4 linked regions of the Lonchura striata genome follow. The protein of the gene in region 1 purifies or fractionates together with the protein of each later gene. This does not show direct contact. Links are inferred from orthologs where the notes say so. Each region holds a gene or a part of one and is shown in the gene's direction. Other genes may lie near its edges. The genes, in order: EIF3H, CSNK2A2, EIF3B and EIF3J.

Region 1 (7,038 bases):
CCAGGAGGGCCAACCCTGTCCTGGGGCATCAGGGACAGCATCACCAGCTGGGCAAGGGAGGGCTTGTCCTGCTCTGCTCTGCTCTGCTCTGCTCTGGGGCAGCCTCACCTTGAATGCTGGGGACAGTTTTGGTCACCACAATATAAAAAGATATTAAACCATTAAAGAGGGCAATGGAGGGCAACCAAGGTGATGAAGGGCCTTGAGGAGATGCTGTATGAGGAGCAGCTGAGGTCACTTGGTCTCTTCAGCCTGGAGGACACTGAGGAAAGACCTCATGACAGTTTACAGCTTCCTCAGGAGGGGAAGCAAAGGGGCAGGTGTAGATCTCTTTACCCTTATGACCAGTGACAGCACTTGAGGAAACAGCATGAAGCTGAGTCAGGGGAGGTTTAGGTTGGAGATCAGAAAAAGCTTCTTCACCCAGAGGGCGGCTGGGCACTGGAACAGCCCCCCTGGGAAGTGGTCACAGCATGAAACATGACAGAGCTCAAGAGGCATTGGGACAGCACTCTCATGCACATGGTGTGAGTCATGGGGATGTCCTGTGCAGCCAGAGCTGCACTCAGTGATCCTGATGGGTCCCTTCCAACTCAGCATATTCAGTGATTCTGTGACTATTATATTGTGAATTAAAACTGGATATTCATGTTAATATAACAGCTAAGTTAAATAATAATATTGAATTAACTCCATTATCTAGGAAAACTTCAGAAGTCAATGCCAGTGGGAGTGCAGCCTTCATGGAAACCTAAGGGCAGGACTCAATACCTACATGATAGCTGAGCTCGCTGGCCACAGCACACTGCCCTGAAGATCAGGGATATTATTGCATCAGCCTCTCTACAAACTGCTTGTAGGAAATCTCCCTGATCCCACTGCACATGCACTTCAGTTTCTTTGGGGCACAAGGCACATTTGACCTCAGTGTGTTTTGGTTTGGAAAGACAGGTGTCTGCTAAGGAAGGCAGGTGCCTTCCCTGAAATGTTAAAAAAAAAATATAGACCCCCTCCCTCTGGATTGTTACCAATTTGAAATTAAGGGGGGCTCTCAGGCAGAAATATGGAAGCAGGAATAACAGTTCTTTATTAGGAAAGAAAAAGATAAAATAAACAATGCAGTGAACTAAAACAACACTGACAGAATACAACTGACACCCTGTTAGTCAGGGTGTCGGCAGCAGTCCAATTGGGAATTATGGCTGCAGTACTCCTGGAGGGTTAGGTGTGGTTCTGTTGGAGCAGTAATCCTGTAGAAAAGGGTGTAGTCTTCCTCTGAAGATGCAGTAGAAGAGGCAGGTATTCCTCTGGGAAATCCAGTGCAGAAAAAGCCATGCTGATGTTCCAGAAACTCATTATATCCAGGTGGAAATGCTTGCCTCCTCCCTCTGGGAGGAGCATTTTGCAGTGGGATGCTGTAATTTTTATCAGTCATGCAGTGACATTCAATGGCCCATTAACAGCAGATGTCTCCGTGGTGGGAGGATTGGTTTGCGGAAGAGATAAAGAAAACTGTCCAATTAAGAGAAGATAACTGACACACCTCTAACAGATGGCAACAGAATACATCTTGCCTTGCAATCTCAGACATAGCAATGCTGCCATTCTGAACTGCCCCTTCATCTCCATTTAAGAATTATTTTCCCAATGGAAAATGTGAAGTGGGATCCATCATACCCTGCTTTAGACATCTATCACAAGGTGTCCTCAGCAAAGCTGGATGCCCAGATTTCTTCTGGATGCCCAGATTTCTTGTTAGGGTCAATGCAGTTTAGTCAGTGATGTCAGTGGAATTTAGGATATGTTTTGCCTTGCTGGGATGATTATTATACTCAATTCTTTGTTTCAATTTGCTCCAGCATCAATGCAAGCAACTGATAAGGACTATTCTAAGTGATGTTAGAATCGTTTTATAGGAACAGGCAAATGTTGGGTCTGTGGCCGCAGGCAAATGCAGATACGTTTTAATATTGGTCTTGATAAATATGTTCCTCACCCTTAATTAGAAATGACTGTTAACTACACTGTTGAAAAGATAAATTTTTATGAAGTCACATATTTGGCATAGTGTCTGAACAGATCTGGGGGGTTTGGTAGGGCTGCCTTTCATAGCGCGTTGCATTTTTCAGAAGGAATTTGAAGAGTTTGAAATTAAATTTAAAAAAATTCACACAAGAAACCCCTACCTCAAACAAAATGGAGCAGCAAAACCAACTGTTTTAATGCAACCCAAACTCATTCCTGAGAATTGCAGAAGTTGATAGTTCAGGGATTTGTGTAATGTTAAGAGTTGGCACTGATGTCTCGTTATTCATGCTCAGGACAGATATTCACATCACCCCACAGCAGTTTGCCTTTTGTAAAGATACTACACAAAGCTTTCAAATCTATAAGAAGTACATGTCCCTTAACATTTGCAGGTTTATTAGGCGTAAATACTTCCTCAAGACCAGAGTCTCCTCAACCATGCTGGGGAGCCCTCGCTGCAGCCCAGGGCTGGCCCAGCAACAGGGCTGGGAATTCACATCACTGTGGAATCAGAACTGCCTGAGGTGGCCCTGGAAATGCACAGATGGAGGTTTCTGGGCTGTCAGAAATGCTTTGCCAGGGGCCAAATGGCAGCTGGACCAGGGCAGTGACCCTTCCCCTCCCCTCAGCACTGGTGAGGCCACACCTCAAGGGCTGTGTCCAGTTCTGGGCCCCTCACTACAAGAAGAACATTGAGGGGCTGGAGCAAGTCCAGAGATAGACAATGGATCTGGTGGAGGCTCTGGAGCACAGGTCTGATGAAGAGCAGCTGGGGGAGCTGGGGGTGTTTGGCCTGGGGAAAAGGAGGCTCAAGGGGGACCATGTTGCTCTCTACATCTCCCTGTAAGTGGTACCAAACAGGTTCTTTCACCTGGTGTGCAAGAAGCCAATCCACACAGAGCTGAGGTATTTCATTTTTTTACACTTCTCTGCAGAAAGGGGTGCTGGGTGGCAAATCCACAAAGCCAGCAAAATGACTACCAAAACTTTTCACTATTTATGCATTTTAACAAAGGCACTAATGTTCATTCATAAGAAGTTACTTAGTTATCTTATTAATTAGTGTTCTATCTTCTATTGGTTAATGATTCTCTCACTTCTCATGTTAATTAGTCTGTATGCTAAGTCTTCCTCTTCCTCTGAGTTGGTGGCTTTCTTGAGTCATGATTTTCCACTGCTGGAATTGCTTTTTACCTCATGGAAGCTGATGCAGCACAGTTGTTGAGTTGTCCTTATTAGTTTCTTCCTCATCTTGAGGGGTCTGTCAAATGTCCTCGTGGCCCATAAATTCTGCATTCTTTGTGCCCACTGTCAATGGCACATCCTTCTTCCCAAGCTCATTGTTAACTTCCCCCTAGGTCTGAGATCACTGAAGCATATCCAGCACTAGTCCTTAACAAGGCAACAAGTATTTTTAATTTCTAATGCCTGGACATCACTTAGCCCTTGTTAGCTGCTATCTAATTCACAGATTAAGTCTCCTTTCTTGTTGATTAGGCTTGAAGATACACCAAGAGCAAATGTCAAAGAACATCTTTTCTTAATTTTCATCTCCCAGGTAAATAGCGCCAGGGTGACAGGAGCAGAGGGCATGGCCTCAAGCTGTACCAGGGGAGGTTGGACATCAGGAAGAATTTCTTCACAGAAAGGACGATTAAACACCGGAATGGGCTGCCCGTGCAGTGCAGTCGGTATGGATGGAAGTGTTGAAGACGCCTGGAGGCGGCACTCAGCGCCGTGGTGCAGGTGACACGGCGCGTCTGGGCACAGCTTGGACATCGTGGCGGTTTTACAAGGCAATGACTCTGTGGGGAGGGCAGGCGCCAGGGCGGCTCTCCCGGCCGTTCCTGTCGGATGAGCTGGCCCAGACCCACACAGGCTCTGCGGCAGCCTCGGGCCGGCCGGGCCGGGCCGAGCCGGCACCGCCGCCGTGCCGGGCCCCGATCCGCGTTCCCGCCCGGGCCCGTTTGGCCGCGCACCGCCGCTGCCGCGCGGGCGCTTCCGGCGGGCGCGTTTCCGTTTCCGGCCGCGGGCAGCCATGGCGTCGCGCAAGGAAGGCTCGGGCGCTGCCGGCGGCGGCTTCGGCGCCGCCAAGGGCAAAGGCAAGGCCGCCGCCGCGGGAGACTCGGCCGTCAAGCAAGTGCAGATCGACGGGCTGGTGAGCAGGGGGCCTGGGGCTTTCGCGGGCGAGGCGGCCGCTGGAGCCGCCGGCGGGGCCCGCCGTGGGGCGGTGCCGCGGGAGCCTCGTGTCTGCTGGGACCGGCGCCTCTCGCGGGCGAGAACGGCTTCGCGTCCCTGCGGCCGGGCTCCCGCCCTCGTCCGTGTGAGGGGAGCGGCTCGCGCCCCGTGTAAGCAAAAGCCGGGCCGGGGCAGAGTGATTTCTCTTTAAATGTCCCATTTCACCTTCCAGCTCCGCCGCCCCTGTGCCCGGAGTTGCTCTTTGCTGCTTTTCTACTCACAGTCATACCCTATTGCCAGAAAATGCCGCAGGTCTAAGAGCTGAGAGCACGGTGGGTTTTTCCCTCACCCTTGTGCTTTTTGCCTTCTCTGTCAGGGCTGCCATGACCCCCTGCGTTTGCTTAATGGGAAATAAAATAAAGTGACGGGTGAAATGACTTGACAAAGAACAGAGCCATCCTAATACAGACAATCAGTGCAGGCCTGAAGTGGAAGAGCATCTACTGAAGGTGGTTCTTGGCTGTGCTGCTGGATCTTTTTGTGTTTGTTGGTTCAGGCCTTAGAAAGTTGGTAACACTATTAATGACACAAGGAGAAAAAGTTACTTAGGGGTGGAAACATTGTTTTTTACTTCATTAGCTTTGCCAAGTGTCAGTAGAACATTGTACAGCTGGAGTGTGAAGGAGTTGGTACCCTGGTTATGAAAAATAAAATCATAGTTTTGAGACAAACTTTGAAGCCTGCTTGGCATTATTAGTGGTAGTCCTCAGCTCTTATCCTGGAGATATACAGTGTAGTAAATATTTGGGAAGATGAAAAATAATTTATTTGTGTGTAGAAGGACTTGTGAAAGAGGAAATCTGAATCCCATTTTTTCTGCCCTGCTCTGTCCAGCTATCTGTGTGCCCGTGGCTTTGGTGCATGGAGCATTTTCAAGGAGTGGTGAAAACTGACTGGTTGTGAAATGTTCGTAAAAACCCAGCAGTAGATAGCAGACTGCTCCTGCTGCAGGCTGGTGCCAAACACTTAGATAAAAGCTGGTAAATTTGATTTATGTTGCTCCTGATTGTTCTCTATCAGGCATATAATCTGCTTTGTGAGCTGCTGTTGTTTCAGATCAACTGTGAGTGTCTCTGATGCTCTGCTTCTGACAGTCCAGCAAGTGTTTAGGATTTTTTTATTTGTTTGTTTCATGCTTTTTTTCCCTTCTCCTTGTATTTTTTTCTGGTGCAGCACAGTGGTGCCTCTCACACAGTGTCACTACAGAGGGAGGTGATTTACTGAAAACTATGAAAGCTTTCAACTTTCCACCCCTGAAGATGTCTCCTAGCCAAAGTGTTCTCAGGACATTGACATTGGTTCATAAATTTCTCTGACATCTGTGATGGACAGAAACGTTGGCATAAATTTGTTTGCTTTGCAAACAAAGTTTATTCAGTTATAAGTCCTTCAAATGTCTTACTGAAATTCTTCTGAAGTGTTTCTGATACCTCACTGGTTTAAATGTCTTATCTGCCCTCACAAATTAACAGGACTTCCTCAGTCATCTTGATGATGACCAGGGTGATTACATGCCAAGAATTCTGAATTGTGATGGGCATCAGGGGAGTTGGTGATCTCTTTCTCTTCAGTGGTGTCTCTTCTCTTGGCATTGTCACAATTAATCCTTCAAATGGGGCTGCTTTGAAAGCAAAGGCATGTCTAGGTAGGCTGCTTTGGAATCTGAGGGCAAAATAGAAGATGCATCAGTTATCTCTGTATGTGAGAAGGTGAAAGTATGTTTAAAAAGCTTGGTGTTTCAGAGGAATAATAAATTAAAAAACCCCAGTATCTGTCATGAAAATAAGAAGTTCTAAATGTTATGCTGTTACCTTAATATGTAACAATGCAGCAATGTCTGCTTCTCAGACCTCTTTTTAAAATCTGGTACAGATGAAGCATCCTGGAGTTAACTTCTTTCTTACTTTAATCTTCTCAATTTCTTAATAAATACTTAGATTGAAAATAGATTCCAGTGTAGATGGCCTGGTCTTTGTAAAAAATTAGAAAATGCAGAGTGAAAAATAACCCTCCAGAAGCACATTATAAAATGTGTTTTTCTTTCAGGTGAGATGTAAGAATTCACGTATTTGTTTTTGGCCATCCTGACAAAAAGATCAGATCAAGTGCCATATATTGCGTCCTGTTGTCCTTCCTATTGTAGAAATTTGGATAGTTTTCTCCAGTCAAGGAGCCCAAAGAGAGCTTGTGTTTACAGTGGTGCACAGGCCTGGGAGAGAGTGACTGGTGGGAAAGAACCCGTGGGTGCTGGTTTACAGCAACCAAACATGAGCCAGTGTGTGTCCAGGTGTCCAAAAACACCAGTGGCCTCCTGGCCTGGATCAGGAGTGCTGTGGCCAGGGGAATGATTGTCTCCCTGCATTCAGCACTGGTGAGGCTGCACCTCAAATCCCATGTTCAGTTTTGGGCTCTCTGCTACAAGGAAGTCACTGAGGCCCTGGAGCATATCTGGGGAAGGGTCTGGAGCACAAATCTGAGAGGAGCAGCTGAGGGAGCTGGGGGTGTTCAGCCTGGAGAAAAGGAGGCTCAGGGGAGACCTCACCACTCGTTCTGCTCCCTGGAAGGAGGCTGTAGCCAGGTGGGGTTGGTATCTTCTCCGAGGTAACAAGTGATAGGACAAGAGGAAATTGCCTCAGGTTAGTATAGGGGAGGTTTAAATTGGATATTAGGAAAAATTTCTTTACTGAAAGAGTGGTTAAATATTGTAACAGGCAGCCCAGTGTGGTGGAATCACCATTCCTCAAAAGTGTTTGAAAAAACATGTAGATGTGG
Region 2 (7,473 bases), on another chromosome or scaffold:
TGAGGGTTGTGCTGTACAGACTGGTTTGGCTGGGTTGGTGCTTTACTGTGGTTGATAGATTTTTATCAGATGCTTTTACTTGTTAAATTTTCCTTGGTTGTGGGAACAATCCAGCAAATAGTAAAAATGATGGAGCACCAGGAGACGTGCAGCCAAGGAGATCATTTGTTTGGCTGGATCCCTTCCTACACAAGGGAGGCTTTGTGTGAGCTCACAGAAGAGCCGTGTTCATCTTGCTGTGGGTAGAACTGGCAGCAGGCTTCAGGCTTTGTCTCCTTGCAGAGTCAGGCTGGCTTGGTTCTCCACGGAGCCGAAAACTCATTATTTCCAAGGTTACAGCCAGGCTGCTGGGAGGCTACAGCTCCTTGTGAGAAGTGCCTGTCTCCCAGCAGCATTGCCAAGGAGGCAGCCGTGCCTTTGGACAAAGGAAGAGGTTTGTGCTGGTCTCAGAAAGGAATTCCATGCTGCCTGTGAGAGCTGCCATGGGGGTCGTGCTTCTTTGGCAGTGCTGACCTCCTCGGAGAGCTGCAAAGCTGGGGGAACCCATGGCCTGTGGGTCAAAGACACGGGCTGGTCATGGTTCCACCAGCACCTGGTCTCCAAGGTGGACTGCTCTGGTAGAGGTACATATGCAAAACTGGAAACTGATCAAATGCATGTGTGGAGGATTGGCTGCAGTGGCAGGGGGTGTGATGGCAAAGGGACAGCCCTCCCCGGGGTCTCCTGGGGTGCACATCACTCCTGCTCCTGCAGCACCAGCTCCCAGAAGCTCCTGACTAGGCACTGCCTCTGGGCTCCTTGTCACCAGCTGGGCCAGGCAGGACTCAGTCCAACAGCTGGGTGCTGAAGGCTCCAGAGGGGTGCAGGCAAACACTGGCCCCCTGCTCCCATCTGAGGTACATCTGCACCACGATGGATGTTTCTCTGTCCGTGACACTACAATCTTCCTCTTACAGACTGCTTTGTCACAATCTGGATGTAAAACTGGGGGGAGCAGTAGCACCAGTCCTGAAGGCAGCTGTCCCTACAGGCATGCCTAGTTTTAGGAGCTTTGTGAGGGTGTGGAGAATCATTTGTAAGTATCCCTGTTTCTGGATCTAGACCATGGCACAGCAATGTGCTCTGACTTCTCTGTGCGAGATGCTCAGGGCCAATGGCAGTGGATGGCAGGTCTGTTTAAATGTGTGTGTCTCCTCCAAAAGCTGATGATGTGGCCAGTGATGCTTCACCACAGCTTTTTTTGGGATGAGGGATGCAAGTCAATCTAATCATATATACATGAGAAAAATCAATGCCCTGGCAAAGCCAGTCCTATTTCTGGCTAGAACATGTCAAAACTCATCTTCAAAATGCATCTTGAGTCATAACCACATCCAGTTCACAGGAGGAACCTCACTTCCTGGCCTTGTTGGGTGCAGGGATGAACATCCTTCATTGTGGGATCTTCACCACATACAGAACTTGACACCAGAAATTGAGTGGTTTGGAATGAAGAGGAGGGAACAGCATGCATAGGGCATACCCTGGAGTTCATCTTTGGATGCAAGGTGGGATGAAGATCCCATGAAAAAGCTGAACATGTGGACATGAATTAAAAGCTGTCTTCAAAGCAGTGCTTGTGTGTGTTGGCTAAGATTGCAAAGATAACTCTAACACCCTGTCTCCACACCAGGCCATGGCTGTGATGCCTCAGCCTGCCACAGGCCATGTTTCAGTAGGTTAAAAGGAGAGGCATCTGAGTGACCCAGCAGAGCCATGATGGGTGGTGGGCAAGAATGGCATCACTGGACAGCCAAGAGATTTTGCAGATGCAAAATGTGGAGTGCAGATTTTTGAAGTGTTTATAGCTCTGTCCAGCCACACACAGCTTTTCAAAGGTCAGCAGGAGACCTAGCATATCTCTGCCAGAAAATTTGTCCCTTGTCCAGAGATCTTGTCTTAATGGCTAAACAAATATTTTCCTTGACTTTTCCCAGGTGGGAAACACCTGGGCTGTTATGGCCAGATTTGAAAATAATAATAATAATAATAATAATAATAATAATAATAATAATAATAATAGTAGTAGTAGTAGTAATAGTAGTAGTAAAAACAGACCTCTAGCATTTCAGTGAAGGTAGGTAAAGCTTGGCAAACTTCCCATAACTGCAAACTGGGCTTTTTGCTGTGGGCAGTGCTGGGCAGCATTAGAAGGCAGCAGGCAGCCGTGGTGCCCAGAGCTGGGCAGCCCAGGCACCAGCTGGAGGAGCTGGCAGCAACTGGCCAGCTTTCCTGCCAGGAATCAGCCTGGCAAGCCAGTTCAATAGCCTGCCTGTGTCCCACTGGAAAACATCAAGGAAGATGTCACCAGTGATGAAATTGCTGACAACTCAGTGGACTCTACCAGGAAAATTATCCATCAGAAAAAAAAAAATTGCCATCTCTATGCTTGAGCATCTCTGCCCAAATAGTAGCACCATGTGGAAGAGAAATTCCCTTTTAGCACAGGATTTTGCTGTGGTCCCATGCAGAATTTGCTGTGAGAGATGAACATCTCAGCTGTTTAGCAGGGCAGCTCCAACCACCTCACTCTGCAAAAACAGCCACATGCACATCCTGGCGTCACAGCGCCGCTTCAGCTGGTGACTCAGGCATTGGCCTTTGCATATCTGCCATCAGCTCCAGTTTATGCAGGGCCTGACTGCTTTGCTTATGCATTTCTACATCTCCAGATCCTAGGAGATGATGTTTGTCTTCACTCCACAGTCGTGGTAGGAAGGGCCAGTCAGCTGGGCTCAGGATGGGGCAGCCTTCCCAAAGGACAGATGATCTTCCTCTTGCTTTGTTAAGACAGGTTTCGCAGGAGTGGGTGTCACATCTGCCTTTTCCCTCCAGGGCTGACTGCCCCAGAAGAGCAAGCATCATGAACATGTCCTCCTTGTTTTCCAAAGATCCTGTGAAAGTCCTGCCTGGTCTGCATTCAGTCAGGACTCAAAGTATGAAATTATAAAGTCCTCCTGGGTTTTTTCATCATTCAGTCTCAGGCACACAGAAAGCTCACTGGGTTTTTCAGTGTCTGGTTGAATCCACATGCTTATCTTTCCAGACCGGGCTGCACCCAGCCCACATGGGCTTGAGGAAGAGCTGGGGTTGGTAGCTCCCCTGGGACTCAAGGAGGTGAGGTGGATTGAAAATGTGGTGATTAGCAGCACAAACTCTAGCTGGAGGCCAGTCACTAGCACAGTATCTCAGGGGTCATAACCACATCCAGGTCTGTTGGGAAGGAGCTTTTCTGAAAAGGATCTGGTGATCTTAGCAGGCACCACACTGAACATAAACCACAGAGAAGACTAAGGGTGTCCTGGGTTGCCTTAGTCAAAACATTAACAGGAGGTGAAGAGAGGGGATGTGCTCAGCCGTGGTGGATCACCGCTAGTGCTTTGTGTCCAGTGCTGGTCCTCTCAGTGCCACGGAGATAGGGGCACAGTGGGGAGAGGCCAGTGAAGGTACACGGAGGTGAATGAGGGACTGAGAGAGGGGGCAAAGCAGAGGGAGCCAGGCTCTTCCCAATGGTGCCCAGTGCCAGGACCAGAGGCCACTGGCACACGCTGGAACACAGGAGGGTCCCTCTGAACTTGGGGAAACACTTTTTCATTGAGTAGGACCAAGCACTGGCACAGCTGGCCGTGCACGTTGTGAAGGCTCCATCCTTGGAGATGTCCAGCAGCTGTCTGCACACAAGCCAGGACCGCCAGCCCTGGGTGACCCTGCTGGAGCAGGGCTCGGACCAGATGACCTCCGGAGGAGCCGGCTGCGGCTCTGTGAGCTCCTCCAGAGGAACACGGAGCCTTTTGTTCACCCCAGCTTCCACCTTGGGGCTGGCGAGACGTGATGGGGCGACAGGAACAAGGAGAGAGTGCGACTGCAGGCGGCGATGGGGTGACAGTATACCAGGGCTGTGGCCAGGCTGAGGTGGGGTCGTGAGGGGGCAGAGGTGACGCTGTCCGCAGCGGTGTGAGGGAGTGCCGGGGGTGTCAGGGTGTGGCGGGCGTGCGCCAGGCTGCGATGGAGCAGGCAGGGGAGGCTGGGGACGGCTCGGCTGCAGAGGGTTGCCGGGCTGGGCGGCGACACGGGACGGGTGGCAGCAGACCGGGAGGCTCCGCGGCGGGACCCGGCGCCTGAGGGGCGGGCGCGGGGCGGGCGCGGCCGCGGGGCCGGACCTCCGCGCCGCCGGGGGGCGCCGCGCGGCGCTGGGCGGGCGCGGCGGCGGCGCCGCCGTTTCCGGGTTGGCTGCGCGGCGCTCGGGGCGGCCCCGCCTGCAGCCGCCGGCACCGGGCCCGGGCCTCGGCAGCTCCGCGGGCCCCGCGCCCGCCGCCCCCGGGCCGGCCCCGCCCCGCCGCGGCCCCGCTCCGGCCTGGCCCTGCCGCCCGCCGCCGCCGCCCTCCTGCGCGCCGCGCCCCGCCTCGCCGGCCTCCCGCGCCGGCCCCGCGCCCTCCTCCTCCTCCTGCTGCAGCCGCCGCCCGGCGCCGCCATGCCCGGCCCGGCCGCCGGCAGCCGGGCGCGGGTGTACGCGGAGGTGAACAGCCTGAGGAGCCGCGAGTACTGGGACTACGAGTCGCACGTCCCGAGCTGGGGGTAAAGCGCCGTGCGGGGACCCGCCCTCCCTCCTCCCGCGGGAGGGCCCCGGCCCCTGGGGAGGATGTCCCGGTCCCCCGCTCCCGTGCTGGGGTGTCCCGGGGGGCTGCGGCGGGGAGAGGCTGGGAGAGGACCCCGCTCCCCGGCCTGCTGCCGTGTTAGTTGTCCGCTCTTCCCCCAGCACCGCCTCTCTCCTCTTGGTGCCCGCAGCAACCAGGACGACTACCAGCTGGTTCGAAAGCTCGGCCGAGGGAAGTACAGCGAGGTCTTTGAGGCCATCAACATCACCAACAACGAGAGGGTCGTCGTGAAGATCCTCAAGGTGAGTATCCCGTTGATGATGTAGAGGCTTGTGGTGGCTGGGAGCAAGACAGAGAGAAGCTGGGTTGGCAGGGCCAAAGAACTGTTGGATCTCTTTCTTCACTCCAAAACTCCTGTTTTCTCGTTAAGATCATTGGGATGGTGTGTTTGGAAATGGAATTGGTGTCTTGAGTACTGTAGTGATGTTCTGATGTCTCCACCCCTCCTTGTCCAGCATAGCTCAGGGCTGAGAGTTCCTCTGGTGGGGGAGAGCCGAGTCCTGACATTTGAACAGCGTTGCGTGTTCTGTCTGTGTTTGGCAAATCGTATCTGGCAATGCCTGTCTGAAACAGCCCAGGGACAGCCATTTCAACAGGAATGTGAAGCCTGGAGGGGGGAATCCTTCTGTTAATCTCTAGACAGCCGGCATGTGGCCTTTCCAGAGCCAGGCTGTGGGATGCTCAGCAGTTTAAAAAGAACCAATATTTTATATTCAGTCCTTTAGAGGATCTGATGTGGAAAAGAGCTTCATCACAGTCATACTACAAACACTATGGAAACTTGAGGGGGCTCAAGGAAACCTACCAAACTTTGGCAGTGCTGGTGATCTGTTTGCTGGTGTGTTGAACCTGGTGGGGTTGAGCTGTGGGGACCTTTGTGCAGCACTGGGAGGTTGTAGTTTGGGATGGCTGTGCACAGGTTATACACTGCGGGGCATGTCTCACCATGTTTGACACTGAAGCAACAGCTCACAGCAAGCTGTGCTGATTGTCCTAGCAGCACTCTGTGTTGGTGATCTCGGGGCAGGCAGGGGAGTTAAGACAGAGATGAAAGGTTAGAGTTGCAGTATGTTTGATTCTGGCTTGGCTGACACTTGTGGCTGTCACTTGTTGCACCAGCAACACTTATCACTTGTTCCCCAAGAGCACGTGGGAGCCAGTGTCTGACCATGGGTGTCCTAAGAATTTGGGCACACATTCATCCACAGCATGCAGGGGGTTCTGAGCTTAATGTGCCCGTGCACCACTGAGAAGAGCAGCTTTCCGGGACATGCATATCTGCAGGGCTGTAGCCTTAAGGCACTCACTAGATCCACTCAGATGGCATGTCTGGCTGTCTCTGCTGACATTCCCACTCTCTCAGTGTGCCTGCTTCCTCGGGATCTGCCTTAGCTTCCCAAAGAACTTGTCATGGTTTGTCCAGCCAGCACTTCTGGGAAAGGTATCATCTTCCATCTGCCTCTGGGAGGAGGCACGCAAACCCCAGCTTTGGCTGTGGGCAAGGAGGTGGCCAGGTGAGCTGTCCTCTGTGGCTGAGCCTGATGTGAGAGTGGTGAGGTTCATGTGTCCTTGCCAAGCCAGGTTCCTTTGGCGTGCTCCCCCTCCTTTGGATTCTTCTGTGGTTTGGGGTTTTGTCTTTTTTAAAGCAGATGCAGGCAGGAGTTTTTGCTGTCAGACAGTAGTCACAAGTGGCAAGTGCAGAGCTGGATTTTACAGCAAGATGCCTGGTGGCTGGCCTGGGGAAACTGTGCACTTGTGCATGCTCCTCTGGAGCCCTTGGTGGCCTCTTTGGGACTGCTGTAGTTTATTGAAATCCTAGCTTGGGCACCACATAGAAAGGCACCGCAAGACTGAAAGGAGGCTGCAAGAAAAGTCATCAGAAACCCTGCTCCTTGCCTGTTCCCAGCCCAAAGAGCCTCCCCTGGGGCAATGCTGCTCTCCTTGTGGCAGCTGAACTCTGTCACAGCTAGGGAGCCTGTCAGCCTTGGACAGGGAGTCAGCTGGCAAGAGTCATCTGAGGGCAGCTGGGTGCTCCTTCTCCTTGGGGCCTGAATGTGTTGCCTTAATGCCCTGCAAGCAGGAGACTGGATTGTCCCAGATATGAAGTGGATGGTGTTGCCACTGGTTCCCCTGGCTCTCTCCACTGGCATTAAAATGCAGACAGCATTCCTGTGAGTGAGCAAGGAAAAGCAGAAGGTCCAGATAAATAAAGATGAACTTTCTCCTCCGTGGAAAGTGGGTCAGTGAAAAGGGAGTTTCAGAGCACCACGTTGTGTACATTATGAAAACCTGTGAAGTGTGGCAATAACATCACCCTGATCTGTGGAAAGTGCCTCTGGTTTCCTGTAACTAGACTCAAAACTTAATTGCAAACATAATTGCATGTATCTACAGGGGAATCTTAGCAAAGGGACTGGATGTCTCTGCTCCTCCTAACTGGGGAAAAATTTGGATTCTGTGAGATGAGAAATGCAGGTTTTTGTGTGATGCAGGGATGAGCTAAAGGGAAGTACCATGGTTGGGCAATGGATGCAGCTGTTTAGCACAGTCCTTTCTCTTTAACATTTTTGAGAGTACAATTTATGTTAGGTGTTAGGGTGAGTTTCACCAAGAGTCACTGTTTTGATATCTCAACTTCATGGAAAGTCACTGGTGTGTCTTCCTAGCCTTTGCTCTTTGAAGCAGCTTGTCCTTACTGAGCCCAAGCTAGCACATAGCAAGTAATTCCCCTGCTTTGGCATTGTAGTACCTGAACATCTTGTACCATCCTCCACAGAGG
Region 3 (6,881 bases), on another chromosome or scaffold:
CTGTACTTTATTAGTCAGGAATGATATAGCTGACATGGTAAAAAAAAAGGTGCATGTTTTGTACAGCAATTTTCCTAAAAACACTGTCAGACACAGAAAAAAATTTATAGATTTTGGACTTCCAGATTGAGGTGTTACAATCCATAATAATGCTTTATGTTTTCAACGTCCAAAGGACTAGATGCATTCCCTAATTAATATTCCTGATATTTCTTAATCATGGGAAGCTAGTCACCTCCATTGTGCACAGGAGAGAACTAAAGTAGAAAATTATGAAGTGAGAATTATTTCAGGGCTAACTGTGACCACAGTGCTCCCCTTTGGAAGTTTTTGCGCTGCTACAAAGATGTGAATGAGTCGAGTGATTCTCCTTTTCCTCCTCCCTCAGTGCTATTTCAGCTCAGTCCCCACGAGCGTGGGTGCAGACGAAAGCTGTGTATAAAATTAAAAAAGCATGACATTATTTAAGCTGAGAGGCCCTTCAAATCATGTTTGTGCAGCAGCTGAGCAGAGTTCTGCGTGCTCAGCACTTCTGAACACCACAGGATTTTTCGCCTATATGGCATTTTTGGAGAAAATGAATGGAGGAATCAACATGTTCTCATTTAGCTATAGATTTTTGATTGGTCTGTACTTAAGCTAATAGCATAACTATTTATTTGGTATAAATAAGATATTCTCAACTGAAGATTGCCTTGGAGTCTTGAAGAAAAATATTGTGGAAAATAATTCAATTGCAGAAATAATTTTTCAACAGGATCAGAAAGAGTCTGCTTGATGTAAGTTATTGAACACTTCTGTATTTGCTGTAACTGCAGCAAAAGCTTCTGGAAAACCTTAAGAATAAACAATAAATACTAAAGAAAAAAAAGGACACATGTCAGGAAGGGACCTTAAAAATCATCTTGTTACAACCCCATTCTGTGGGCAGGGACACCTTCCACTAGCCTGGGTTGTGCCAAGCCCCATCCAGCCTGGCCTTGGACACCCCCAGGGATGGGGCAGCCTCAGCTTCTCTGGGCACCCTGTGCCAGGGGCTCCCCACCCTCACAGGGTAGAGTTTTTTTCCTAATATCTAATTAAATAATCCTAATATCTAATCAAAACCTACTCTATTTCAATTTAGTAAATAGTCTCTCTCCATGTTTCTTGCAGGCCGCTTCTGGTATTGAAAGGCCACAGTCAGGTCACCCTGAAACCTTCTCTTCTCCAGGCTGAACAATCCCAGTTATCTCATCCTTTCCTTCAGGAGAGCTGCTCCATCCCTCTGAGCATTTTATTGGCCTCCTCTGGACCTGTTCCAAGAGGTCCCTGTCCCTCCTGTGCTGGGACCCCAGAGCTGGATGCACGACTCCAGCTGGGGCTCACCAGAGGGGCTGAACCAGCAGGTTCCAGGTGACAAAAGCAAAGCAGAAATAGGTCCCTACCCGAGGCCCTGCCTCACAGAGTGTCATTCTGGGCACGTCCTGTCAGGATTAGATGAAATTTCATACAAGAATTTGCTTACTCCTTCAGAATTCAGTTTAGGAAACAGAGCTGTCAGCTCCACTATTCTCAGATCACCTGCACGCAATAAAATTCATGAGGCACTGCTGGTTGGAGAGCTGTGTTACAAAAAGCCTTTCCTGCAACATTTTTTCCCCCCAAATTTCCCATTGATTAGGAGTTTTGCATGTGGAGTACTTAAAGGAACAGGCTTCAGCTGCCAGTGCCAAAACCTCTGTTTTTAAAAGTTGTTCTACTCTCCCTCAGATTGCTGAGTAAGGGCTGGAAGAAAAAAGAATAGCAGTGAGATAGGACAGGGACTGAGGGGAAATTTCAACAGAGAAAGGAAAAGGAGAAGGAAGGAAGAGCAGATAAATCAAAAGTTGCTGAAAAGTAGAGGAAAGTGCAAAGAGCAGCCTGTGCAATGTCAGGGAAAGGAGAATCCAATGTTTAGATCCACTGCTTAACCAAAGGACTGGAAAAGTGCAAACAGGAAAAAGGGCAATTGCAGAAATTGCACATTCCAGCAATGCAGACAACGGTGGGAACGGTGAAACAACAGCAACACCGACCTCATACACAGCCCTGGAAGAGCCACGGAATACTGAGCACCCAGCAGGGACCATGGATTGACCAGCAGCCTGTCCTGCCTCACATTTGGAAAAACACACAGTTGTGATGGCAGGAAACAGCACTTTCTGTTCACTTCAGAGTCAGTGCTGGTGCTGACTGGAAGTCAGGGTCTGGTCAGCTACCACGATACCAGGAGGGGGAAAAATTGCTGCAAAGTGGCAGTCATCATTTCCATTCACCGGAGCTGCCTTCAGCAGGGAACGGGCACACTCAGCCGGGGGACTGGAGTGGAGTTTGGATGCCATCGTGTGCCTCCCTGAAAAATTACACAGCACAAAGTCTAATTTTAAAAATGCCATGTACAGTACCTTCTCTGCCTTTTTTTTTTTTTTTTTTTTTTAATGCTGGCATTGTCTGTTTTGACAGTTAATTGAAAGCATTGTGCTAAAAAAAGAAATCCTACTCAACGCAAGTGTTTGTCTCCAAGTTTGTACAGAGGAACCATTCTCGAGAACTTTTTCCTCTAGAATTGTCATCTCAAGGTAAATTCCAAGTTCTTTGAGCCACACTGAATATACGATATATATATATATATATATATGTGTGTGTATATATATATGTACATATATATATACATACATATATATGTATGTATATATGTATGTACATATATATGTACATACATATATATATGTATATATATACATATATATATGTATATATACATATATATGTATATAAATACACATCGTGACACGAGTCACACTTTATGTATTCTTTGTATTCTTCATCAGCCTGAGGTGCCCGGGACAGCATGCGATGCTTTAATCGATAACGTGTGGCCAAGTCTCTGGGGTCAGTCATGCTGGTAGCCAACGTGAAGATAGGGGAGCTTCACCAGTTCAGAAACCATTTAAAAATCACGCTGAGCCGCCAGGACTGCACACCGTGACCCCTCAGATCCCTGTCCTGTGTGTCCGGCTGCACCGGGAGCTCACCGGACCTTTAAGGCTTCTCGCGGGGCAGGCAGAGATGCCGCAGCATGGCCACTGTCACCTTGTACCTCAGGAAAAATGTTATTTCAAGCCCACAGAGGAGAGGTGGGGCCAGAGCAGCGCTCGGTCTCCGCCGCCGCCCTCAGCCCCGCGCCCCGTCCCGCCCGGCTGATGTGGCGCTGCCGCCGGGCCGTACCACATGGCCCCGCCGCCGCGGGGGGTGCGCTGACCCGCCGCCCTCGCCGCGCCCCGGCACAACCGCGTCGATGCTGGCGAAGCACCGCGCGCCTCCCCCTCCGCACCGGCTTGGTAGTGCCCGCGCGCGCGCCGACTGCCATCAGGCGAAGCCATAGTGAAAGATTGTAGGGGGGAGCGGTAGGGCGAGGTTCGTGGCAGTGCGCTGCCCTGTCACCGCGGCATTGTTCTGTCACCGGCCGCTCAGTCATGGGCAACGACATGTGCTGAGGGAGGAGGTTTCACTGGGCGTCAGCGCAGCTAAATGGAACGGCGCCCCCCAAAAGATGGTTCGGCCGGACCCCACCCCAGTAGAATGGAAGGCGGCGCCATCTTGGGCTCAACCACAGCAGTCAGAAATAGGGATGTCAGGCGTGCAGTGGGGTGAGAAGGCGAAGCCGCCGCCGCTGGCGGAGCGAGGCGGGGCTGGCAAAGGCACCGGAATCTCCTGTGCGCGGCGGGGAGAGCGGGCGGCGGCGGGCGGCGGCGCCGGCTGGGGCGGGGCTCCCCCTCTGGCCGCGCGCGCGTTGGTAGGTGCCGGCGCGCGCGGGCCGCTGGGCCTGGCGCACATGGCCCGGCCGTAGGAGCCGCCCCGCCCCTCCCCCGCCTCGCCGCGCTCCGGACGGCTCCGGGACCGGAGCACCGGGCACCGGGCACCGCACCCACACCCGGCACCGCACACACACCCGGCACCGGGCACCGCACCCACACCCGGCACCGCCCCATGCAGGACACCGAGGAGAGCCCCGCGGCCGCCGCGCCGCCCGGCGCGCTGGGCCCCGCCGAGCAGCCCGAGCTCACGGACGCGCCCGCGCCGCCCGCGGAGCCGCCGCAGGAGCCGGAGCCGGAGCCGGAGGAGAAGGAGGATGAGGAGCGGGAAGGAGGAGGCGAGTCCCAGGGGCCGCCCGAGGAGCCCGAGCAGCCGCGGCCGCCGTCCGGCCGGCAGAGCCCCGCGCAGGCCGAGCCCCAGCCCGAGCCCGAGCCCGCGGCCGGGGCCGAGCCCGGCGCGGCGCAGCAGGACGGGGAGGCCGCGCCCGCAGCCCCGGCCGAGCCCGAGGATGAGATCTCCTTCAGCGACCCCGAGGACTTCGTGGACGACATCAGCGACGAAGGTGCGGGACGGGGGGAGCCCGTGGGGAGCCGGGGAGCGCTGGGCCCCGAGCCCTGCGCCTCCGCATCCGAGCTGTGCTTCTCAAATCGTCCCTTTTTGAGTTCTCTCTGCACCGCACAGCCCCGCTGCTCTAAAAGCTGCTGTTGAAGCGGTTCTGAGCCGCTGTACACCTCAGGTGTGGGCTGCCCCCTGAGCGCAGTCTCCAGCTGCCTTGCCTTTTTGCTCCACTGGTTAAACTCAGCTGTAGAAACAGATTTTTTAAATGGTCGATGTGGTTACAAACTGTGTTTCATCGTTCTTCTTTTTTTTTTCATGAGCCCAGAATGAAATCAGTAGGTAAATAGGATTTGAGACGAGTTACTGCTCGCAAAGATGTGATGTAAGTGCTTTGTGATAAGAAAATAGGGGAAAGTCGTTTCTGGCAGCTAAAAATGTCGGCCCAGACTTTTATAAAAGTACTGGCTGTTGACTGCCTTAATATTGCCAAACTGTTGTGTATCTGCACAGACAATAAATGTTTATACATGGGCTTGTCATACAGAAGTGAGAACTCTTAATTTAGTGTTTTTCAGATGGGTCTTTCCAGATAAATATTCTTAGTTTTTGAATAGCAAACGTATTTTTTCCCCATTATTTATTCAGCATTTGTGCTATTTTAGGGTCTTTAGGGTCTGTTACATGTATCAAAAGTGGAAAGATGCTTCTAAAGCACAGAACTGTAAATCAGCCAGTTATCTCAACTGGCAGTGGAATACAGGTGCATTCTTGTGCTCCAGTCCTTGGTTTAGTTTACTAAAACAGCAGCCAAATATCCTAGATTAAGGAAGTGTTTGCTGTTCTCAGTTTAGCAGTCTGTATGGCAGCTGTTTGAACTTTTGTTTCTTAAAGAGACTTTGGCAACATTGCCTTGGAGTTGGATTCTTTCTGTTAAGTGCCTGCTTAATACACTTTGTGTATATGTGGGATTGTTATGTTCAGTTCCTTCTTAGAAACTGGGCATATTTTCCACCCCCACCTATTTTGTTAATTAATTTGGGTGAACTTCTCAGCTGCCTGAAATCCAGTGTTAGTGGCTGAATTACAGGGATTAAGTTTAGTCACTCTTGTTGATCTGGCTTTCCATCTGTGTGTGTTGCTAGTTGAGCTTCCTTATTCCTTTCCCATTTTTCTGGTGCCTCCCCAAGGAGAAGAGCAGCCCAGTGTGACCAAGCCAAGGCTCTTTCAATGCTGTGCTAACACAGATGCTCAGGAGTACCTGTGGGATGGACCAGCTGTAGGACTGGAACATCTCAGATCCTTTCCTGCCTCTTCTTTTCCCAGCTGCTGGCATGGAAGAGCAGCTGATCCGAGTTAAAGCAGAAGGGATGTGTTGGACAGACACTTGGGTACCAGTGAAGCTTCAGTTCAGATAATGGCAGTGGTCCTTAAAGTGCTGCCAGCTGGAGATAGCCCTGCACCCACCACACCCTGCTTCCCTCCTGGCTGCAGCAGGAGCTGGCTGAACCAGCTTCTTGCTCTTTGAAGATTCCTTTGTTCACTATTTGGAATTTAAGGGCACGGTGTGGGAATTTGTCTTCAGTCTGTTACAGTTTTGGTTCTATACATGGTGTTCCTACTCAGGAATCTAAACGTGCGTTCCTTGGCCTACAAAGTCTTTTTTGAGAAGTGGCTATGAAAAAAATGCCTAAAGGAGCCTTAATTACCCTTTTGTGTTTTACTTTGGTTTTCTCCTTTTGCTAGTAGACTCCTATGGAAATGTCTTTGTAGGACATGCTTTCATTTTATGTATTTTATATCGTTATTTGTAGTTCCTGCATGCACATGCAGATGATATTTTTGAGTGATAAATATTGCAAACAACATTCTGTGGATGCTACATAGCCTTGGTGGTAATGGGGTAGATATTTGTGATTTATGTTGCTCCAGATCAATGGGAAGCTTCATGTGGAATAATCTGTTGAAGCTTGAAGTTGTACAAAGCAAATTTTTAGTAGTTTGAAATTCAAAGTAAGCATGTTTCTCATTTTTCCTCATTGCTGGAGATCCTTCCAGTGATGTTTCTGGGCAGAAAAATTTATTGAATTACAAAACCAACAAAAATTTAATGTCTTTGAAATATAAGCATATACAAAACATTTTTTAGTTTGTTCTCATATTTTAAGTTTTTCTACATGTGTTTGGAATTTTATTTCTTAGTCTATGCATGCTGTACATAGTCTGACTCCAAATATTATCTAATTCAAAAGTATGGTGGTGTGAACTTATTTTCTCTGTAGTCTTGTACTTTATAGTGCTCTTCACTTAATCTTAAAGCTTTCTGCAAATATTCAGGTATTAATATGTTAGAAGAATATTCAGTGTGAAAAGATGTGTGCTTGTCTTCACAAAGATTAAATAGGGCTTTCAGTGTCTTACCTTAGACCTTCATTTTTGTGCTTAATTAAAGGTTTAGCTAGAGTGTGATTCTTAATTACAGTGATGCT
Region 4 (7,829 bases), on another chromosome or scaffold:
CTGCCCTTTCCCCCACAGAACGAAGACGTCCGACCTCACATCAGAGACAGATTTCGCTTGCATGATTTGCTACCCCCCGATTAAAGCCTTTGCTCTCGCTGCCGAGGGGAGGAAATGCAGGACCCTGTTGGACTAATACAAAACATTGCCATTACTGTTGAAATTTTGCATTTTTGTACCCCGTCTTGCTTTTCTTATCTTTGGTGCCCAGCAATGATCAAGGGTTACAGAAAGAGACTTTCTGCACCTGAGGTTGCCGCCATCAGTACAATCCAGTACCCGCAGTAGGGAGGCTAGAACAGAAAAGTCTTTAGAACTAGTGCAACTCCAAGGAAATTTTTTATGTACAGGACATCTGCAGTTTATAAAGAAAATTCTGTTTCTGCCACCAGCAGTTTGACCTGTAGAAACACAGGATTTTATGATACAACAGAGATTGAAAATGGACTCGGATTTTCTCTCTGTTCGGTGCTCTAAGTGGGTTTGTAGCCACTTTTCTGTTACTTTTAAGATTCTCATTTCAACAGGAATGGCCAGTAAAAGTTGTTTTATTTTTCCTGTTAAGGTTTATAACCTTTTTACATTTTTGACCTGTATTAGATTAGAATTTCATTATGCATTCCTTTTAGTTGAGGCGCTTCATAGTTTTTCTGGAAATAGCCAAATTTTGTTAGTTTTTTATTAAACAGTTGGCTGGCCGTTTCCCTGCTTTGTCTGCCTGCATCCTGTATATTTGTTTAAAAATATTCTCTAGTTTTAGCCCACGTAAGTTTCATTTAGAAAGAAAAAAAAAAAAAAAAACCCAACAAAAAAACCCCGCATTTATATTTTCTTTCTGTAATATTCTACTGTAGTCGAAACCTTTTCAAAAAAAAATCAAGAGACTGGCTAGATAAGACGAAGATAAGGATTACTAATATTGGGAATATCCTAAAGCAGTGCGCTGGCACGTCCTCTGGACAGAGCACACCTGGCAGCGGCGCCACGATGGACAAGGAATACCTCAGCTCTGCTGTGTGCTCACCTGGCAGGTGTGGCCAGGCTGCTCCCGCTGCCCCGGGCAGGGCTCCCGCGACACTCCCGGTTCCTCTGCGGCCACCCCGGCCCTGGCTCCTAATGCAGCGCCCCGAGGGGACCTTTTCTGGCCGTGGGAGTCGCCTTTCCCGGAGGCTTTCTATGGAAGGTAGCATTTGTACGAGTTAGGAAGCTTTGCCTCTCGACTGCATTACCACGCCACAGGCTCGGACTGGTTTTGTGTAAAAGATGTCACAGAACGGCACTTTTTCTAAAGAGAAGTTTGCTATTTTGTATGCTTGATAAGAAAGTACAGTATTGGAAATTAAAGGTGGACAGCTGATAATTGAGAAGTATGTCAATTAATTTTTTATGTATATTACCTGTTTACTTGTACAATTTTATTGTACAAATTACATGCAGCTTCATTTTCAAATGAGTCCTTAAAATAAGGAAAATCTTTTTAGCAAAACATTTAATTTTTGTATTTTTGATTTTAAAAGGCATGAGTTATGTCAACTTTTTCCAGTGTATTAATGAAGATTTTAACTTTTCATCAGGTTGAGTGTTTTCTTACTATATTATCTGTTGTGTATGTAGCTAGCACATGGTGTCACTGAACTGTTAAAACTTAGCATGTAGAGCAAGCCTGTTTTGTGGAAAATCCTTATTCATTAAAAACAAAGTCATCATGGCAGATTTTCTGCAAAAAAAGTGAAAACGTTTGCAATTCAGAATACTGATTTTTTTTGTATTTAAAGAAAGGTATTTTGCTTGCAGGAAAGAAATACTACAGATTCATTTTAATGAGAATCTTTTAAATGTATTTATCTTTAGGGCATCTGGGCATCTTTACGCTGTTTGTCTTATGTCTTTATTGAAATAAAATGTACAGAACATTACCTTTACATCTGCTTGGTGCAGCCGTGTCCCCTGGTGGAGAGCTGGATGGATGGACCCTGCAAGGGGCAGCTTTGTGCAGCTGCCCCTCGGTTTGCAGCCCTTCCTCACTCGTTCCTCGCCGTGTAAATCTGAGTCCGAGGGGTTTCGCTTCCCTGCTGGAGCTTTGCCTAACAGGGGATTCCTCCCGTTCCTCCACACCACGGACCTGCTGTAAAATTCACGGATCTGCCAGACGGAGCCCACCTGTAGCTCGTGGCCTTTTCCAGCCGTGATGGGATGTTCACCTGTTCCAGTAACATCCTTATCCCCAGGTCCTCTGTGGCTCCGGCCCTTCCAAAAGTGCTTCCAGAGCTGAGGAAACCAAAGGCACGCCGCACTTCCCAGCTGTGTGCGTGCTGTGCCCGTCAGATCCGCGAGGGAAGCCCGAATGTAAACGTGGGGACGTAGCTCTGCATCGGTGCACAACGGGACTGACAGGGATTCTTAGTAAACATATTAAATATTCATATTTTCCTGTGCTGCAAGCCTGGTGTTTACCACTGAACTCTGCAGAGCGCTCCTGCCTCCTGCAAACCTTCCTGGTGCGGAGCAGTTTTCATCCACAGGTTTTATTTCTGTCATGCTCATCTCGAGGGGGAGTTCCCTGTTCCCGTGCCGAGCTCTGGGTCAGGTTGTGTCCCCAGCACCACCCCCGTGCCTGGGCAGGCTCAGCCAGTGCGAGCGTGGCTCGTGCCCCCCGAGCAGGGCACCGTGCAGCTGGATCACCCATCCCTCACGGAATATGGTTTTGTCCTTACGGAAGGCACCGCATCCTATTGCCAAGGTTCTGAATGATTTCCTCTGTGCTCTGTGCTGGGTTGTGGTGGCCTGTTTGCCGTGTCCCCGTGGATTCTGTTCTGTGTTGGAGCCCCTTGGTTCTGGCAGCTCGGTCACACTCCAGCCCTTGGGTGGCAGTTCCTGTTCAGGCTTTTGTTTTCCCTGGGACTGCCCTCGCCTCTGGTCCTGCTTCCCCCACCTCGGATTCACCCACCTGATGATTTCCATGGTTTGAATGTAGCAGGAGCCCGAATGTGCCCGGACTGGATGGGGAATCTCCCAAACCACTGGCGGACGGTGTCGGCGAAGGGACGGATGGCGTTTGGGGAGAGCCCTGAAATGTGGAAGCCACCCTGGCAGGGTGACAGAAGCCCTGCTGTGACAAAAACCCTGCCCAGCATCGTCCCCTGCCCTGCCCTGCCCAGCATCGCAGTGCCAGGGCTGCCCCGGGCAGGAGGGACCCGCGGGAGAGGAGGAGGAGGAGAAGGTTTTGTTCTTGGTACTTGCAAAAATGTCATTGTACTGATGGGGCCGAATCTTGTTAAATATGATGGGAAGAGAAGTCCTGTGCTATGGATTTCTGTTTCTTCTGCAATCATTTCTAGTCTACAGAAGCACAAAGATGTAATTAAACACTTATGCTCTGGATTCTGTTTTTATGATTTTTAGCTGATATCCTTCACTGAGCCTCAGTTTTCTATAAGTCAAGACAGTTTTCAGCCTTGAAGTGGAAGAAGTTGTGTCTGTGTTTTACTATCGAGGAAAAATTTAAACGTTCTGTGTAATTCCTTAGAATTCCAAATTACATATTCCAGTATTAACGTATTCCAAATTACTGCACAATTCCTGGTGATTTTGTGATCACCTGCCACAGCACCCTGAGGCTGTGAAGATGTGTAGACTTGGTGAGGATATAACTTGTGGCATTGTTTGATCCGTAGGTATGGCTCTGTTATTATTTATATTGTCTGGTAAATGGAGAAGAACAGGAAAAGGATGATAATTTTGGAAGTCTCTATTTTTAATTCGTGTTTTTCCTAGACACACGTGTGTGGTTTATATAGACGTATACCGAGATCATTGCTTTGGTTTATGAAAGACACGTTCTAAATTTATTCTCTCCGGACAAAATCTATCCTCCTTTTCCACGTGCGGGGTTCTCAGGGGAGCTGGGACTGGCGGTGAAGAAGCGAACAGCGAGCGGCTCCGCCGTTCCTGTTCGCGTTGCAGGGCACGGGGGGAAGCGGAGCCTGGCGCCGCGGCGTGCGCGGCCCGAGCGTGGCGGGGCCGAGCCGTGCCGGGCCGTGCCGGCCGTGCCGGGATGTGCCGGGCCGTGCCGGGCCGTGCCGGCCGTGCCGGGCCGTGCCGGGATGTGCCGGGCCGTGCCGGGATGTGCCGGGATGTGCCGGGCCGTGCCGGCCGTGCCGGCCGTGCCGGGCCGTGCCGGTACGTGCCGGAGCACGGCCGGTCCCGGGCGGCCAGGCTCGGCTCCGCTCCCGGGCGGGCGCGGCCCCGGGACAGACCCGGGCTGCGGCCGGGGCAGCGGGATGCCGGTCCCGGGGCCGATCCGGGTCCGGGTCCAGATCCCGATCCCGTTTCCTATCCTGATCCCGATCCCGTTCTCGATCCTGATCCCGTTCCCAGCAGCAGTCCCGTTCCCGATCCCGTTCCCGGTACCGATCCCGGTCCCGATCCTGATCCCAGTCCCGATCCCGGTCCCGTTCCCGTTCCTGGCCCCGATCTCGATCCCGATCCCGGCCCCGATCTCGATCCCGTTTCCCGGTCCCGTTCCCGTTTTCGATCCCGGTCCCGCCCCCTCTCCGGCTCCGCCCCTCCCGCCGGCCCCGCCCCGGCCACGCCCCCGCCGTTCCCGCCCCGTTCTCGGTCCCGCCCCTCCCGCCGTTCCCGCCCCGTTCCCGGCCCCGCCCCGTTCTCGGTCCCTCCCCTCCCGCCGTTCCCGGCCCCGCCCCGTTCTCGGTCCCGCCCCTCCCGCCGTTCCCGCCCCGTTCCCGGCCCCGCCCCGTTCTCGGTCCCGCCCCTCGCGCCGTCCCCGCCCCGTTCCCGCGCTCGGGCCCCGCCTCCGGGGCGGGCCCGGTCATTCCGCCGCCGTCCCGGCGTGCCCCGCGCGGCGCCGCCCGGCGGCCGCGGTCGGGCCAAGATGGCGGCGGAGGCGGCGGACTCGTGGGGTGGGTGCGGCGGGGCCGGGGCCGGGCCGGGCCGGGGCCGCCGCGCGCTCCCCGCCGCTCACCGCGCTCCTCTCCCCACAGACGCCGACAGCTTCGAGGTGGTGGAGCCGGTGGCGAAGCGGCTGGTGCCGGGGGTGGCCGGGGACCGCTGGGCCGGCGAGGATGAGGAGGACGACGTGAAGGTGCGGCCGGGCGGGCCCCGCCGCTGGCGGCTCCGGGGGGCGGCGGGGGCGGCCGGGCCGCGGCCGTGTGGCGCCCGAGCGCGGGGCCGCGGGCCCGGCGGGGCGGGCGGCGTGCGCGGCTCCGGGCCGGGCTCGGGCTCGGGGCTCGGCACCGGCGGGGCCGGGACGGACAGCCCGGGGCTCCCGGTGCCGGGGCTCCCGGTGCCGGGGCTCCCGGTGCCGGCGGCTCCCGGTTCCGGGGCTCCCGGCGCCGGGGCTCCCGGTGCCGTCGGCTCCCGGTGCCGGGGCTCCCGGTGCCGGCGGCTCCCGGTGCCGGGGCTCCCGGTGCCGGCGGCTCCGCCCGCGCGGCAGCGGCTCCGGGCTCGGTCACGGAGCCAAGTCGGAGTGCCAAGAGAAGCCGGCCCTGCCCGCAGCCGCTGTCCCGGGACCTGCGGGGCGGGCTCGGGGCTCGGCACCGGACAGCCCGGGGCTCCCGGTGCCGGCGGCTCCGGGCTCCGTCCCGGTGCCAAGAGAAGCCGGGCCGGCCCTGCCCGGTGCCGGTGCCGCTGTCCCGGGCCCCGCGGGCGGGGAGGGTCGCGCAGACGCTGCCGGAGCGGCACGTCCCGCTCCCCGCGGGATCCACCCGCCGCTCCCCGGCCGCTCCCCGGCTGCTCCCCGGCTTTGGGGCGCTGTGCCCCCGCTGGCTGCAGCCCGTGGAGCTGTTCGGGGCGCTGGCGAGGCGCCGGGACGGGCTGAAGGACGGCAGCGCTGCGTTGGTGCTTCTGCTGCTGGCCGGGAGCGGCTGTGCTCCACCAGGGCGTCTTTTCCTCCTGAGCTTCCACCTCATCCTGCCCCGCTCACCACGAGGTGCGTCCTGCCGGGCTGTCTGCACGGCGGTGGGATAGAACCTGTGGATGATCGCTGCTGGTGCTTCCGAAGGCAGAGCTCCCTCAAACGCTGTTTGCTCCTGCTGGACTCCCCTGGAAGGCTGGTGGTGCCACAGAAACCTCCGGATCCATATGGATAGTGCCAGGGACTGCTCAAGGCCAGGCTGGACAGGGTTTGGAGCAGCCAGGCAGGGTGGAAGATGTCCCGACCCACGGCAGAGGGTGGAGCTGGGTGGTCTCTGAGGCCCCTTCAGACCCAAACCATCCTAGGATTCTGTCAGTGGAATAAGGCAACTACAAAAGTTCTTTTTGTTTCCTCCAGCTCTGGGACATTGTAGCGCTGGGTGAGGACTTGGGGTTGGTTTTGAGGACACTGTTACCAGGATCTCTGAAAAGCACCACGAGATTTTCTTGGGGCTCAGGTGGAGTTCTTCCCATAAACGGTACAGGAAAAGAAGTTAATCTTTTAAAAACCCTGAAGATACACACAGAATCACAGAAATTTGGTAACTTCCCTTCTTTAACTCAGTAGCAAGCCCAGCCCAGTGTCCCGGTGTCAGGTTAGAGCAGCAGGACAAGGACGGTGTGTGCACAGCAGCTCCGGGCACTGGGAAAGAGTGTGGGAGTGACACAGGTGTGTGTGACTGACCCCTCTGTGACTGACAGGTGTGCACAGACACCTGTAGCTCAGACTGTGACATTTGCCTTTCCTCCTTCCTTAGAAAGTGAGCAGCATTCCTGCTGGATGGGATGTGCCCAGGAGAACTGCACCAGAGTGCTTCTCTTGGAGTCACCTGAGGGGTCTGTGTTTAATAAAGGAACAAATGTTCCCCACATGCCATCCCAGAATGGTTTGGGGTGGAAGGGACCTTAAATCCCATCCTGTCCCACCCCTGCCATGGCAGGGACGCCTCCCACTGCTCCAAGCCCTGTCCAGCCTGGCCTGGGACATTCCAGGGATCCAGGGGCAGCCCCAGCTGCTCTGGGAGTTCCATCCCACACCCTGCCCACCCTCCCAGGAACAATCCCTCCCAGTATCCCATCCATCCCTGCCCCTGGCAGTGGGAAGACATTTTACATCTTATGTGTCGTGAGGATGCAGCTGCTTGACTATTTCTGAGGGATGATGGGTTTGGTGCCAGAGCTGCGTCTAGAGAGGATCCAGCAAAGAAAGGTGGTTTATTTTGGTTTATTTCCCTTTGATTTGCTCTTCCTGCCAGACTCCTGCTCAGCTCTGGATCCCTCGGTGCCAGGCCCCACATGGGGAAATCCCCACGTGAGGGATGACGTGGTCTAAAGTGGCAGCACAAAGTTTTCTGGCCACGGCTTTCCTAAGGCACCTCACATTGAGGAGTGTGCTTTGTATCTGCAGATCTGTGTTTTGGAAGGGTTTTTGGTAATGAGTTTGCAGTAACTGTTAATTTGGGAAACGTCAGCTTCCCGGGTTTAAAATTAGCACCTTTGGTAACAAAACTCCTCGCAGTGTTCCCCAGCACACGTTCCCCAGAAGTCAGGCCTGCTGCCAGGGGATTTTCATCCATTGACTCAGGGCTGGCACAGGGCAGTGCCTGCTCCATCCCAAGCTGGGCTGGAGCTGGGAGCCAGGGCCCAGTCCCTGCCACCTCCCAGCTGCTGGGAGGATGTTCCTGGGCTGCTGGAGGACACAGAAACAGTGTTGAAATACTGGGCAATGAATGTGTTCTCTGGGAATTACTGTATCACTGCAAGGACACAGCATGAGGCAGCTGGCTCTTCCTCCCAGAGAACTCCCTGGGTTTATAAACCAGGCAAGGCTGGCAGGACTCGGAATTCCCTGGATTTATAAACCAGGCAAGGCTGGCAGGACTCGGAATTCCCTGGAT

Evidence for each region.
Region 2: the proteins of EIF3H (region 1) and CSNK2A2 purify together in Homo sapiens (affinity purification with mass spectrometry; 5 studies listed by BioGRID and IntAct, with this or other methods). This does not show direct contact. The link is inferred for Lonchura striata from reciprocal best matches to the Homo sapiens genes EIF3H and CSNK2A2.
Region 3: the proteins of EIF3H (region 1) and EIF3B purify together in Homo sapiens (affinity purification with mass spectrometry; 10 studies listed by BioGRID and IntAct, counting the BioPlex papers as one, with this or other methods). This does not show direct contact. The link is inferred for Lonchura striata from reciprocal best matches to the Homo sapiens genes EIF3H and EIF3B.
Region 4: the proteins of EIF3H (region 1) and EIF3J purify together in Homo sapiens (affinity purification with mass spectrometry; 3 studies listed by BioGRID and IntAct, with this or other methods). This does not show direct contact. The link is inferred for Lonchura striata from reciprocal best matches to the Homo sapiens genes EIF3H and EIF3J.

The regions. Positions count from the first base shown.
Region 1 is NC_134603.1:15,127,527-15,134,564, forward strand, and holds the start of EIF3H (eukaryotic translation initiation factor 3 subunit H), read left to right. Parts: upstream 1-4,034; 5' UTR 4,035-4,066; coding exon 4,067-4,186; intron 4,187-7,038.
Region 2 is NC_134615.1:17,523,614-17,531,086, reverse strand, and holds the start of CSNK2A2 (casein kinase II subunit alpha'), read left to right. Parts: upstream 1-4,471; 5' UTR 4,472-4,510; coding exon 4,511-4,614; intron 4,615-4,824; coding exon 4,825-4,936; intron 4,937-7,473.
Region 3 is NC_134618.1:13,450,559-13,457,439, forward strand, and holds the start of EIF3B (eukaryotic translation initiation factor 3 subunit B), read left to right. Parts: upstream 1-3,871; 5' UTR 3,872-4,011; coding exon 4,012-4,399; intron 4,400-6,881.
Region 4 is NC_134613.1:24,048,858-24,056,686, reverse strand, and holds the start of EIF3J (eukaryotic translation initiation factor 3 subunit J), read left to right. Parts: upstream 1-4,821; 5' UTR 4,822-4,891; coding exon 4,892-4,919; intron 4,920-5,000; coding exon 5,001-5,101; intron 5,102-7,829. Other genes in the region: CTDSPL2 (CTD small phosphatase-like protein 2), read left to right, coding at 19-84. UniProt on the Homo sapiens protein: Component of the eukaryotic translation initiation factor 3 (eIF-3) complex, which is required for several steps in the initiation of protein synthesis.